Macaca mulatta: one gene and its partner. The main gene of each other region encodes a partner of the protein of the gene in region 2 in a complex. Links are inferred from orthologs where the notes say so. Each region holds a gene or a part of one and is shown on either strand. Other genes may lie near its edges.

What was found. Proteins that work in one complex are often made in the same cells at the same time.
Region 1: SNRPG (region 2) and SCNM1 share a complex: the UniProt entries of both Homo sapiens proteins name them as parts of the minor spliceosome. The link is inferred for Macaca mulatta from reciprocal best matches to the Homo sapiens genes SNRPG and SCNM1.

The regions. Positions count from the first base shown.
Region 1 is NC_133406.1:115,922,009-115,928,276, reverse strand, and holds the start of SCNM1 (sodium channel modifier 1), read left to right. Parts: upstream 1-2,805; 5' UTR 2,806-2,919; coding exon 2,920-2,970; exon of another isoform or gene 2,971-3,019; intron 3,020-3,244; coding exon 3,245-3,315; intron 3,316-3,671; coding exon 3,672-3,760; intron 3,761-3,857; coding exon 3,858-3,955; intron 3,956-4,062; coding exon 4,063-4,151; intron 4,152-5,184; coding exon 5,185-5,379; intron 5,380-6,268. Other genes in the region: LYSMD1 (lysM and putative peptidoglycan-binding domain-containing protein 1), read right to left, coding at 1,846-2,025. UniProt on the Homo sapiens protein: As a component of the minor spliceosome, involved in the splicing of U12-type introns in pre-mRNAs. Plays a role in the regulation of primary cilia length and Hedgehog signaling.
Region 2 is NC_133418.1:54,439,397-54,444,943, forward strand, and holds part of SNRPG (small nuclear ribonucleoprotein G), read left to right. Parts: intron 1-2,216; coding exon 2,217-2,239; intron 2,240-3,097; coding exon 3,098-3,222; intron 3,223-5,547. UniProt on the Homo sapiens protein: Plays a role in pre-mRNA splicing as a core component of the spliceosomal U1, U2, U4 and U5 small nuclear ribonucleoproteins (snRNPs), the building blocks of the spliceosome.

The DNA of each region.
Region 1 (6,268 bases), on a different chromosome or scaffold from region 2:
ATACTGTAAATATTGCTATAATCATACATAACCCTACTATAATATTATTCACCTCTTTAAATATTTGCTTTGCCTAAACCCTATGAGTCCTTTAAGGGCAAGGATTGTGACTTGCTGTCTCTGTATCCCCAGGCAGTCGTTAGCATCCTACAGACTTTGACACATAGCAGGGGCTCATTAATGCTTTATTTAAAAATTATTAATTATAATTATCTAATTATTATAATAATTAGATAATGAAATATAGAAACTACAGATATAGTATATTCGTATTTTTTTTCTTCTTTTTTTTTTTTTTTTTTTTGGAGACAAGGTCTCACTCTGTTGCCCAGCCTGGAATGTAATGGCACAATCTCAGTTCACTGCAACCTCCGCCTCCCAGGCTCAAGTGATCCTCTGCCTCAGCCTCCCCAGTAGTTGGGATTACAGGCACATGCCATCACACCCAGCTAATTTTTGTATTTGTTGTAGAGATGGGGTTTCACCACATTGCCCAGGCTGGTCCTATACTCCTGAGCTCAAGCAATCCACTCGCCTCAGCCTCCCAAAGTGCCGGGATTACAGCACAGGCATGAGCCACCACGCCTGGCCCACCCCAGCCCCTTTCCAACTAAAATTTAATCTTTCTGATTTCCTATCCGTTTTTTTATTTTGAGACAGAGTCTCGCTCTGTTGCCCAGGCTGGAGTGCTGGAGTGCAGTGGTGCGATCTCAGCTCATCACAACCTTCACCTCCCAGCTTCAAGCAATTCTTCTGCCTCAGCCTCCTGAGTAGCTGGGATTTCAGGCGAGCACCACCACGCCCGGCTAATTTTTGTATTTTTAGTTGAGACAGTGTTTTGCCACGTTAGCCAGACTGGTCTCGTACTCATAACCTTAGGTGATCCACTTGCCTCAGCCTCCCAAAATGCTAGGATTACAGGGGTGAGCCACCATGCCTGGCCCTGATTCTTTGTTAATACCTTTACAAATTCACCACGTTCTGTCATTTGTAATCATTATTTGTGTACCTGTTTATTTCTCATTAGGCCATAAATTACATGAGGACAGCAACCATATAGTTTAAGTTTCTGTCTCCCAGAAAAGTTATCACAGTGCTTTAAATGTTGGCTAAAGCATAAAAATGTTGGCTAAATTCAACATTTGCTTGAGTGAGATGGAACAAGAAAACAGGGGTGGGGGTAGGGGGAGTAACCTCATCAACTTCAATGCTATACATTTTTACATCTATCCAATTTCCCCCATGCATGACCTGAAATACTTGGTGTAGAGTACCTGTTTTGTGCCAGGGAAGCCGCCTTACTAGAAAGAAGGCAGAGCACTGAGGAGGAACCAAGAGCAAGGAGAGGTAGGCACTTTAGGAACTGAGAACTAAAAATAAGCTCTCCATTATTTGCTGTAAACGTTTAATCACTCTCAATGTAAAATTTTCTGTGTGGTTTACAGAGTCAGACAGACCTGTTTGAATCCCATATCTGACAATCATTATTTGACCTTAGTCAAAATGGTTAACCAATCCAAGTCTCAGTTTCTTCATCTGCCAAAAGGGAACAATAAATGTATACTTGATACGGACGTGAGGGTGAAATGAGCTAACGTATGTGAAGCCCCTAGCACAGTGTCTGGCATGATAAAATAGGAGCTGTTCCTCTCCATTGGAATAGTAGAGCAGAACTTGTCCCAACCACGCAGTGCAACACTGTGATGGGAAAACAAAGATAAAAGCAGAACAGAGTTCAACACATTAGGAACATTTCAGGGGAGGTTACCTAGAAGGTCCACTACATTCTTCTCAGGACTAAATCCCTCCTGACTCTTGTCTGCACCCCAATCCTGGAAAACTCACCGTCACCCCATATTTGAGTGCTAGTCCAGCCAGGGTGTCTCCGGGCTCCAAATGATGCTCCAGGCGTCTTTCCCTCACTGGGGAGCAGGCCGATTGCACCAGGCTTCCATATGAACGAGCCCGGCTCCCGTGAAGCAGTCCTGACCCCCCTGGCGGGGGCTGTCTAGACGGGGAAGCCATCTCTTCACCCTGCCGACAGCTAGGTTGCAACTAGGGGAGGCCCGACCGAGACTGCGAATGACAGGCCTGAAGTCTGGGAATAGATATTCAGGGGATTCCTTTCCCCTTCTCTCTTCCCCTGTGTCCCCGCCTCCCCAGCACTACGCCACCTGCCCCCTCCCGGTTTCTCCTCCCTCCAAGTCCTTATCCACAAATCTGTCCCTTGAGTATTCAGTCCCTCCCTGATTCGCCCCTAAGCACCCCTCCGACTTTGAACTCCCCCACAACTCCTCGCTACATTGACCTCTGACCTTTGAACTCTAGAAATAATCCTCAACACTCTTTCCTCAGTTTGCCCCCAAGTAGTCTGGCCTCAGGGCGCTCCCACATCCCAGCTCTGCCCGGTCCCGGGGTTTGTTTGCTAGAGCCAGGAACAAATCAGGCCCACCCCAGGTGAACTGTCGCCGCAGACGAAGAGCGTGAGGATTGCGAGAATTTGTAGTACACCTTCCACTCAGAGATCCTCAAAGGTCCGCTCCGCATCAGATAGGTCACACCCTCAAATTTCGGCTCCACATCTAGGTTCTTGTCCCTCTAAACGCCTCAGATCCACCAAGATGCAAGGGCCTGGATCCAGCTGAGCGGCAAGGTCTTTGAGGAAAAGACTTCATTTCCCAAAAGGCGTCGCGTCTGCGGAGTCGCACGGCACCATAGGAAATGCAGTTCCCTCCACGCGCCAGAGAGTGGATATCCGGATGGCGCAATGCATGCGTGGAAGTGCATTCCCGGAAGTACGGGGGCCGACAGGAAGACAAAGAGAAAAGAGAAGGCGCTGTCCCGCTCTTGCTACGGTGGCCTAGAGGAGTGGCGAAACCGGAACAAGAAAATTTATCACTTCTGGGACTCACAGTCGTGATGTCTTTCAAGAGGGAAGGAGACGATTGGAGTCAACTCAATGTGCTCAAAGTAAGCGTGAGCGGAGAGGATCTGCAGCCTCTTCAGTCGCTCTCTGAAGGTTGGGAAGGAGCTTTGTTTCATTGCTCTGGCAACAACTCGGGGGTGCAGGAGAGAACCAGGCGACTTAGAGCTGTGTAGTGACTCCTTTTTCGGTCTATGATCGCTGTTCTCCCCAGGGTCCTTATGTCCTTATTCCGTTTGACTCCTCATTTCTATCATTTAACTTCCATCCCTCTCTCCTATCCTGCTGATCCGTCCGGATTTCTTCCCCTACTCCCTGCAGAAAAGAAGAGTCGGGGACCTCCTCGCCAGTTACATCCCAGAGGATGAGGCGCTGATGCTTCGGGATGGACGGTAAGAGCGAGGAGTGGCTCAAGCCTGAGGGTTTTGCGGTTAGAGGCTCAATAGCTGTGTTGCCCAGGCTGTCCTTGAACTCTAGGGCTCAAGTGATCCTGCCTTCTCAGCGTCGCGATTAGCTGGGATTACAGGCGCACGCCACCACGCCCGGCTTCAACAAACTTTTGTTATTAATTAGGACAGCAGAAGTATCTAGGATTCTTTGGCGGCTAGTGAGGACTGGAAGAAGTGGAGATTGGGTCACCAGGGAGTTGGGTTTTGCAAAGACTGCTAGGACAGGGTGGGACTTACGGCAGGGACAGGCCCAACCCTCTTCCCCTGGACCAGTTATCCTCTTCTCTACCCCTGCTCAGCTTTGCTTGTGCCATCTGCCCCCATCGACCGGTACTGGACACCCTGGCCATGCTGACTGCCCACCGTGCAGGCAAGAAACATCTGTCCAGTAAGTTCGGGGGAAGACAGGGGATGGGGAATAAATCGAAATCTCTGCACACCAGCCTTGGTGCTATGCTTTTAATTCTGTTTCCCTTTCTCTTCAGGCTTGCAGCTTTTCTATGGCAAGAAGCAGCCGGGAAAGGAAAGGAAGCAGAATCCAAGACATCAGAATGAATTGAGGAGGGAAGAAACCAAAGCTGAGGTAATCAGAGAGTGGAGAGTGTGTTCTAGGCAAGACCCTGCTGCACACACCAGGCTGGAAGGGCAGAGGGCTGAAGGCTCTGACTCTGTCTCCCATCTTCTTACCAGGCTCCTCTGCTAACCCAGACACGACTTATCACCCAGAGTGCTCTGCACAGAGCTCCCCACTATAACAGTTGCTGCCGCCGGAAGTACAGGTATGGGAGGGGAAAGCCAGAGGTAGGAAGGCTCGGAAGGAGATAGAGGGCTCTGAAAGTGTTTTCCAGTCTGTATTCTGAGGAATACTAGCGTTCTGGAGATGTTACTTAGTGTTTCAAGAAAAGGAGAATTTTGGCCGGGCACGGTGGCTCACACCGGTAATCCCAGCACTTTTGGAGGCTTAGGCGGTGGATCACTTGAGATCAGGAGTTCAAGACCAGCCTGGCCAACATGGTGAAACCCCGTCTCTACCAAAAATATAAAAAATTAGCTGGGTGTGTGGTGTGTGCCTGTAATCCCAGCCACTCAAGAGGCCGAGGTGGAAGAATTGCTTGAATCCGGGAGGCAGAGGTTGCTGTGAGCCAGGATCATACCACTTCACTCCAGCCTAGGTGACAGAGTGAGACTCCATCTCAAAAGAAAAAGAAAAGGAGAATTTTGTGATTTTTAAATAAAGTTTGGGAAATGGCACTTTGTAATTCTACTTGAAGAGTAACAGTTTTAGGCCGGGCGCAGTGGCTCAAGCCTGTAATCCCAGCACTTTGGGAGGCCGAGACGGGTGGATCGCGAGGTCAGAAGATCGAGACCATCCTGGCTAACACGGTGAAACCCCGTCTCTACTAAAAAATACAAAAAACTAGCCGGGTGAGGTGGCGGGCGCCTGTATCCCAGCTACTCGGGAGGCTGAGGCAGGAGAATGGCGTAAACCCGGGAGGCGGAGCTTGCAGTGAGCTGAGATCTGGCCACTGCACCCCAGCCTGGGTGACAGAGCAAGACTCCATCTCAGAAAAAAAAAAAAAAAAAAAAGAGTAACAGTTTTAAAAGCTATACAAAGTCTTAAGAATTAAAAAAAAAACTTGTAAAATTTAAAGCTAGCCTTTCCCAAATTCATGATTCTAAAATCCTTTGTATGCAGAACTTACTAATATCTTGAAAAATATAGTTTAAGAAACACTGTTTTAAGAGGTTGGGAGTCATAGGAGAGTTGGCCCTTTCCCTTACTGCTTTTACAGACTATTCTTCTCTACCTAGACCAGAAGCCCCTGGTCCCTCTGTCTCCCTTTCTCCTGTGCCACCCTCAGAGGTCGAACTCCAAAGCGGGAAGATCAGTAGGGAACCTGAACCTGGGGCTGGCCCACAGGCCGAGGAGTCAGCAACTGTCTCAGCCCCTGCACCCATGAGCCCCACAAGAAGACGAGCCCTGGACCATTATCTCACCCTTCGAAGGTGAGTGTGCCTAATCAGTTTCCTCAGATTTTCTTTTCTCTCTGACCCTTCTTGTTTCAAAGCTTTTTTTTTTTTTTTTTTTTTTTTTTTTGAGACGGAGTCTCGCTCTGTCACCAGGCTGGAGTGCAGTGGTGTGATCTCATCTCAGCTCACTGCAACCTCCGCCTCCCAGGTTCAAGCGATTCCCCTGCCTCAACCTCTCGAGTAGCTGGGATTACAAGCATGTGCCACCATGCCTGGCTTATTTTTTGTATTTTAGTAGAGGCGGGGTTTCACTACGTTGGTGAGGATGGTCTCAATCTCCTGACCTTGTGATCCACCCACCTCGGCCTCCCAAAGTGCTGGGATTACAGGCGTGAGCCACCGTGCCCGCCCCCCATTTTTTTTTTTTTTTTTTTTTTTTGAGACAGAGTTTTGTGTGTTCCCCAGGCTGGAGTGCAATGACACAATCTTGGCTCACCACAACCTCCGCCTCCGGGGTTCAAGCGATTCTCTTGCCTCAGCCTCCCAAGTAGCTGGGATTATAGGCATGCCCAGCTAATTTTATATTTTTAGTAGAGACGGGGTTTCTCCGTGTTGATCAGGCTGATCTTGAACTCCCGACCTCAGGTGATCCACCTGCCTTGGCCTCCCAAAGTGCTAGGATTACAGGCGTGAGCCACCATACCCGGCCTCCTATTGTTGTTTTTTATCTTTGGTTTCGTTTTGTTTTATCCACCCAATTTACATGGCTCTCAATTTTTTCTCACCACTAACTTTTTTTTTTTGGTAGAGACAGGGTTTCACCATGTTGGTCATGCTGGTCTTGAACTCCTGACCTCAAGTGATCCACCCACCTTGGCCTCCCAAAGTGCTGGGATTACAGGTGTGAGCTCACCACTAACTTCTT
Region 2 (5,547 bases):
TCACGTGTTCTCTTCTCCAGTCAGACTGAACTATTTGTGTTTGCTCTCACTTGCTGTGTGACTTCGAAAAATTGATTTACCTTTTCCAAGCCTAGTTCTCCATCTGTAAAAACGGTAGAAATGACAGACCATAATTGCATGCAAAGTCATTGTAAAGATTGTATAAGATCTTGTGTTATATTTGATATGTTTTATGTATCTTATTAAAATAGTTTTGTTCATCATACTTCATAAATGTGTGTATATATTATATATAATATGTAATATATATTACATATATAATTTTACATATAATATTACATATATATTACTTTTTTTTATATATATACATATATATATATATATATTTTTTTTTTTTTTTTTTTTTTTTTTTTGAGATGGAGTTTCACTCTTAATTCCCAGGCTGGAGTGCAATGGTGCAATCTCGGCTTACCGCAACCCGTGCCTCCCGGGTTCAAGCAATTCTCCTGCCTCAGCCTCCCGAGTAGCTGGGACTACAGGCATGCACCACCACACCCGGCTAATTTTTTTTTTTTTTTTTTTTTTTTTTTTTTTTTTTTTTTTTAGTAGAGACGGGGTTTCTCCATGTTCATGTTCATCAGGCTGGTCTTGAACTCCCGACCTCAAGTGATCCACCTGTCTCAGCCTCCCAAAGGGCTGGGATTATAGGCATGAGCCACTGCACATGGCCCATAAATATATTTTCACTTGTAAATGTATCTACTCCCTCCTTCAGTCATGCTCCTTGTTTTATATTTACATTCTCCCATGATAATCCTATACATTAAAATTGACTAAGTTCCCCACTTCATGGCCCATATACTAAACTTTTTTTTTCCATTTTTTTATATTTTAAAATTTGAATGAAATTTCATGTTTTCTGGCCTATAAATGGAAGAGGTTAAAAACTGGTTTGACTGATGGCTTAGTATTCTCGTATTCCACTAAAATAGAATTTTCTTTTAATTCATATTGTTTGAAGTTTCAAATGTGCATTTATTATACTAAAGTATACTTAAATGTTGAAGACTACCCTGAACATTTATGCTTGATGCTTTAATATTAAATGAACACTATTTATCTCAAATATAAAATACTTGTTGAATTGGATATGATTTGATTACTGTTTGCTGTCTTTACAACTTAGTTTTGGAAATAACCAAATGTAGGCAAGTCTTTGTTTTTCTCTTATGACTATAAAATCCAATCATTGAAAATTAGGTTAGCGAGACCAGATGTGGTAGCTCATGCCTGTGTAATCCCAGCAGCACTTTAGGAGGCTGAGGGGGAGCATATTTTTTGAGGCCAGGAATTCAAGACCAGGTTGGCAACATAGTGAGACTCCATCTCTTTAAAAAAAAGAAAAAGAAAGAAAGAAACTTCGGTCAATGAAACAACATAGTATTGAACAATAAGAATGTTTTCATAATTCACATTAGTATATGTAGATTAATATAGTTTTTTTTTTTTTTTTTTTTTTTTTTTTTTTTTTTTTTTTTTTTTTTGAGACGGAGTCTTGCTCTGTCGCCCAGGCTGGGGTGCAGTGGCCGGATCTCAGCTCACTGCAAGCTCCACCTCCCGGGTTTACGCCATTCTCCTGCCTCAGCCTCCCGAGTAGCTGGGACTACAGGCGCCCGCCACCTCGCCCGGCTAGTTTTTTGTATTTTTTAGTAGAGATGGGGTTTCACCGTGTTAGCCAGGATGGTCTCGATCTCCTGACCTCGTGATCCACCCGTCTCGGCCTCCCAAAGTGCTGGGATTACAGGCTTGAGCCACCGCGCCCGGCCAGATTAATATAGTTTAAATATATTTCATTTTTATTGTCTTTCCTCTTCCCAAGTTACTTTGCGTTGTAGAATGTCTAATTTAGGTAACCCTTTATGCCCCCTCTCTTTTTTTTTTTAACCTGAGACAGGGTTTCACTCTACTGCCCAAGCTGGAATGCAGTGGCGCATTCATGGCTCACTGCAGACTCAACTTCGCAGGCTCCAGTGATTCTCCGACCTCAGCCTCCTAAAGTGCTGGGGTTACAGGCATGAGCTACCTCGCCCTACTCCCTCACTCTGTACAGCAATACAGTATTTTTACTATTTTAAATTTCATTATTCCCATTGTATAAATTTTAGCAAATTATCTTAACTGTACCTATTTATGTACTTGTTTATGCTTAAATTTTTTTAATTGGTTATATAATCTTTACCCTTTTCCTTTTTCAGATTTATGGACAAGAAGTTATCATGTAAGTTTGTTGTTGTTTTGGAGTTTTTTTAAATCATTCAGTTGCTTTTTACGTGTGTCTTAGCAATATGTTTGGAGCAACTTTATAAAAATTTAAAGCACACAGGACCTCTAATTCACATCCATTAATTAAACAGATTACTTAATCCTAACTTGACAATTTTATTTACCTAATTTCTGATATTGAATTAATTTAACAGCACTTCAGACTTTTATCTTATATAAGCCTTTCCTCACTCTGGCAAAATTAACAGGATTTATCAACCTTTTTTCTTTAAACAAGCTACAAAGGACTTAGACAAGAAACAATTATTTTGTTTCTTGGGAATATGTAGGAATAACAGATTTGTTCAATTTATCTAAAAATCTGACCCACGCAGTACTTGAAATATATGTAGGGGAAAAAAACCGTGAGTGTTAGAAGCAAGCAGCCTTCAGCTTGAGTCTCACTTCTACCATACAGTAGCTGTATAACCATGAACCCAGTTACTTAAAAGCTTGGGCACGGTGGCTTACACCTGTAATCCCAGCACTTTGGGAAGCCAAAGCAGAAGGATCCCTTGAGCTCAGGAGTTGGAGACCAGCCTGGGCAACATAGGGAGCCCCCATCTTTATAAAAATTTTAAAAAGCTCTAAAGTTTAGTTCTGTCCGATAAAGTAAGGATAATACTACTTTTTAGGATTCTTATAAATTAAAATGTGGAAGTAAATACAAAAATGTTTAACCCAGTTCTTGGCATACAGTAAGGATAGTGGGTCAAACATCTCAAATACTTGTGTTTTATCCCACCTGATTTCTAGTGAATGCTTGATAGCTAATGGACAGTTTATCTAAAACGTCTTTTTCCCTTTTTAATAGTGAAATTAAATGGTGGCAGACATGTCCAAGGAATATTGCGGGGATTTGATCCCTTTATGAACCTTGTGATAGATGAATGTGTGGAGATGGCAACTAGTGGGCAACAGAACAATATTGGAATGGTGGTAAGTAAAGATACAAGATTTCTCTTGGATATTTCATTTTTCTTTTGGAATGTGTATTAACTTTCCTAGTTAGTAACCCCCAGAAATGGCAAATAATAGGCAAGATTAGACTTTCCATTTCCTTTTTAGTTGAACATATGGCAGTTACTCAGATGTGGTAATATCCTGGTTACCTGTAGGTAATATCTCAACTATACAGAACCTAAGGTCCTAGGGCTTGAAACAGCTGTTGGAAATCCTTTTTGAGCTTTATTCTACAATAGAGGCTCATAGTCGGTCCTTCATTAGAGCAGGAGTTCTGAAACCTTAACGTGTATATGAATCCCCAGGGAATCTTGTTAAAATGAAGATTCTACTTCAGTAGGTGTGGGGCGGAACTTATTAAGGTTTTGCAATTTTCCTAATGCCTAATGCAGATCTGCCAGTTCACAGATAACACTTTCTGGTTTTACTTGTATACATAGTTAACCTGGGTTTTCTGGTTTACCATACCAAAATTTTAAGGTAGCCAAGGTAAACGTTACAAGGGATAATCACAGTGACAGTTATTCACATGAGAGAAAAAGCAGGAAAAAATTAAAAAGCACATACTGAGCCCTCATAGGATTAAACATTCCTACATTCATTGGGCTGTAGTTTTAGTGATTACTGAAGAAGAGTTTTGATACCCCCACTTTGAGTCCTTCTTTGTCTAACACAGGACAACATACCTAATAAAGTGGTAGACCCAAAGTTATTGAAAAAGGTGAGCCAAAAAGGACAACTTACTTTTAGCAAATTATTAAGCATAAAGACCTCCAAGGAGTGTTAAGAGTTGCTAATTATTAGCCTTGATTTATTAACTTTGATTTTTAAGTTTGAGCAGTACAGTTGAAGATAGACCTATTTTGACATCTCTGCCTGTTTAATTTTTTTACATACCATTCTTTCTAAGGTTTGTGTTATTACTTATTTCAGATACTTTTTTCAGATACTTATTTCGGAGACTTATTTCAGTTACTTTTTCACTACTATATTTTGAAAAGCAAATCGATAGTCATGACTGAAAAAACAGTTTAGAGTCTCCAGATACCACACTGTACCCCCAAGTTCCTTGTAAATTGACTTGTCTTTCAGGTATATTCCCTTATGAGCTTCTGTTGAATAAGGCTGCCAGCATCATTAGTAGACAAGTCCTTATAAAAACACTTTCTAGATACCCCAAGATTTTCCTCTAAGCCCTTATTTTTACAAATAAATTTTCATTCTAATAGAAGCTGGATTCGGTTTTTAGTTCCTTGCAACAAATTTGCTGAAAAGGATTCAGGAAGGAATCCTAATTGTCAATTCTGCTTTGAGAAAATTAGAGAATTATATAACACACTGCTCATTGGAATTTTATCAGAGAAGGAATAGAGCATCCCTCTGTCAATTTTCCCCCAAAACTTTATGGACTTAATTTTCTTTGCACAGAAATTAGTTGAAAGCACTGCCATCCCAAGTCATTTAAGTAATGATTACCTACTTAGTGTGTTGGGCAGCCTCCTGTTCCATCTCTGAGGTTTAGGTGACACACACACCCCCAACCCCCAGCCGAAGAAAAAAAAAGTTTTCATCAACAGACAATGATTCTTGCTGCTGAGTCTTCACTTTGAAAAAGAAATAATAATACATCAGTCTTCTTTAATAAAAAGACATTTTAAAAGGCAAGAACAGAGATGAACTTTTTGACTTTTCTAAAGTTGGAGGAAGGGAAACAAATAGGTTAAGATTTTGTTCATTTTGTTAGAAGTTGTTTGACAAAGGACAGTTGGTTTCAATATTACCTTGTCCAAGTCAGTGATCCATTGAGGCCACTGAAATTACTTAATACTGTTTTATTGCAGTTATGTGTGTATTGGCTGGGCACAGTGGCTCACATCTATAATCCCAGCAGTTTGAGAGGCTGAAGCAGGAGGATCTCTTGAGCCCAGGAGTTCAAGATCAGCTTGGGCAACATAGTGAGACCTCATCTCTACAAAAAATTTAGAAAATTAGCTGGGCGTGGTGGTGTGCACCTGTAGTCCCAGCTACTCAGGAGGCTGAGGCAGGAAGATCACCTGAACCCAGGAAGTCGAAGCTGCAGTGAGCTGAGATCACACCACTGCACTCCAGTCTGTGTGACAGAGCGAGATCCTGTCTCAAAAAGAAAAAGGATGTGTGTGTGTTTTCAGGAGTTTGTTTTTAACCTGTCAGCTGGATCATTACCTAATGATAAATCTCAACTATTTCCTTTTTTTTTTTTTTTTTTTTTTTGAGGCGGAGTCTCGCTCTGTCGCCCAGGCTGGAGTGCAGTGGCCGGATCTC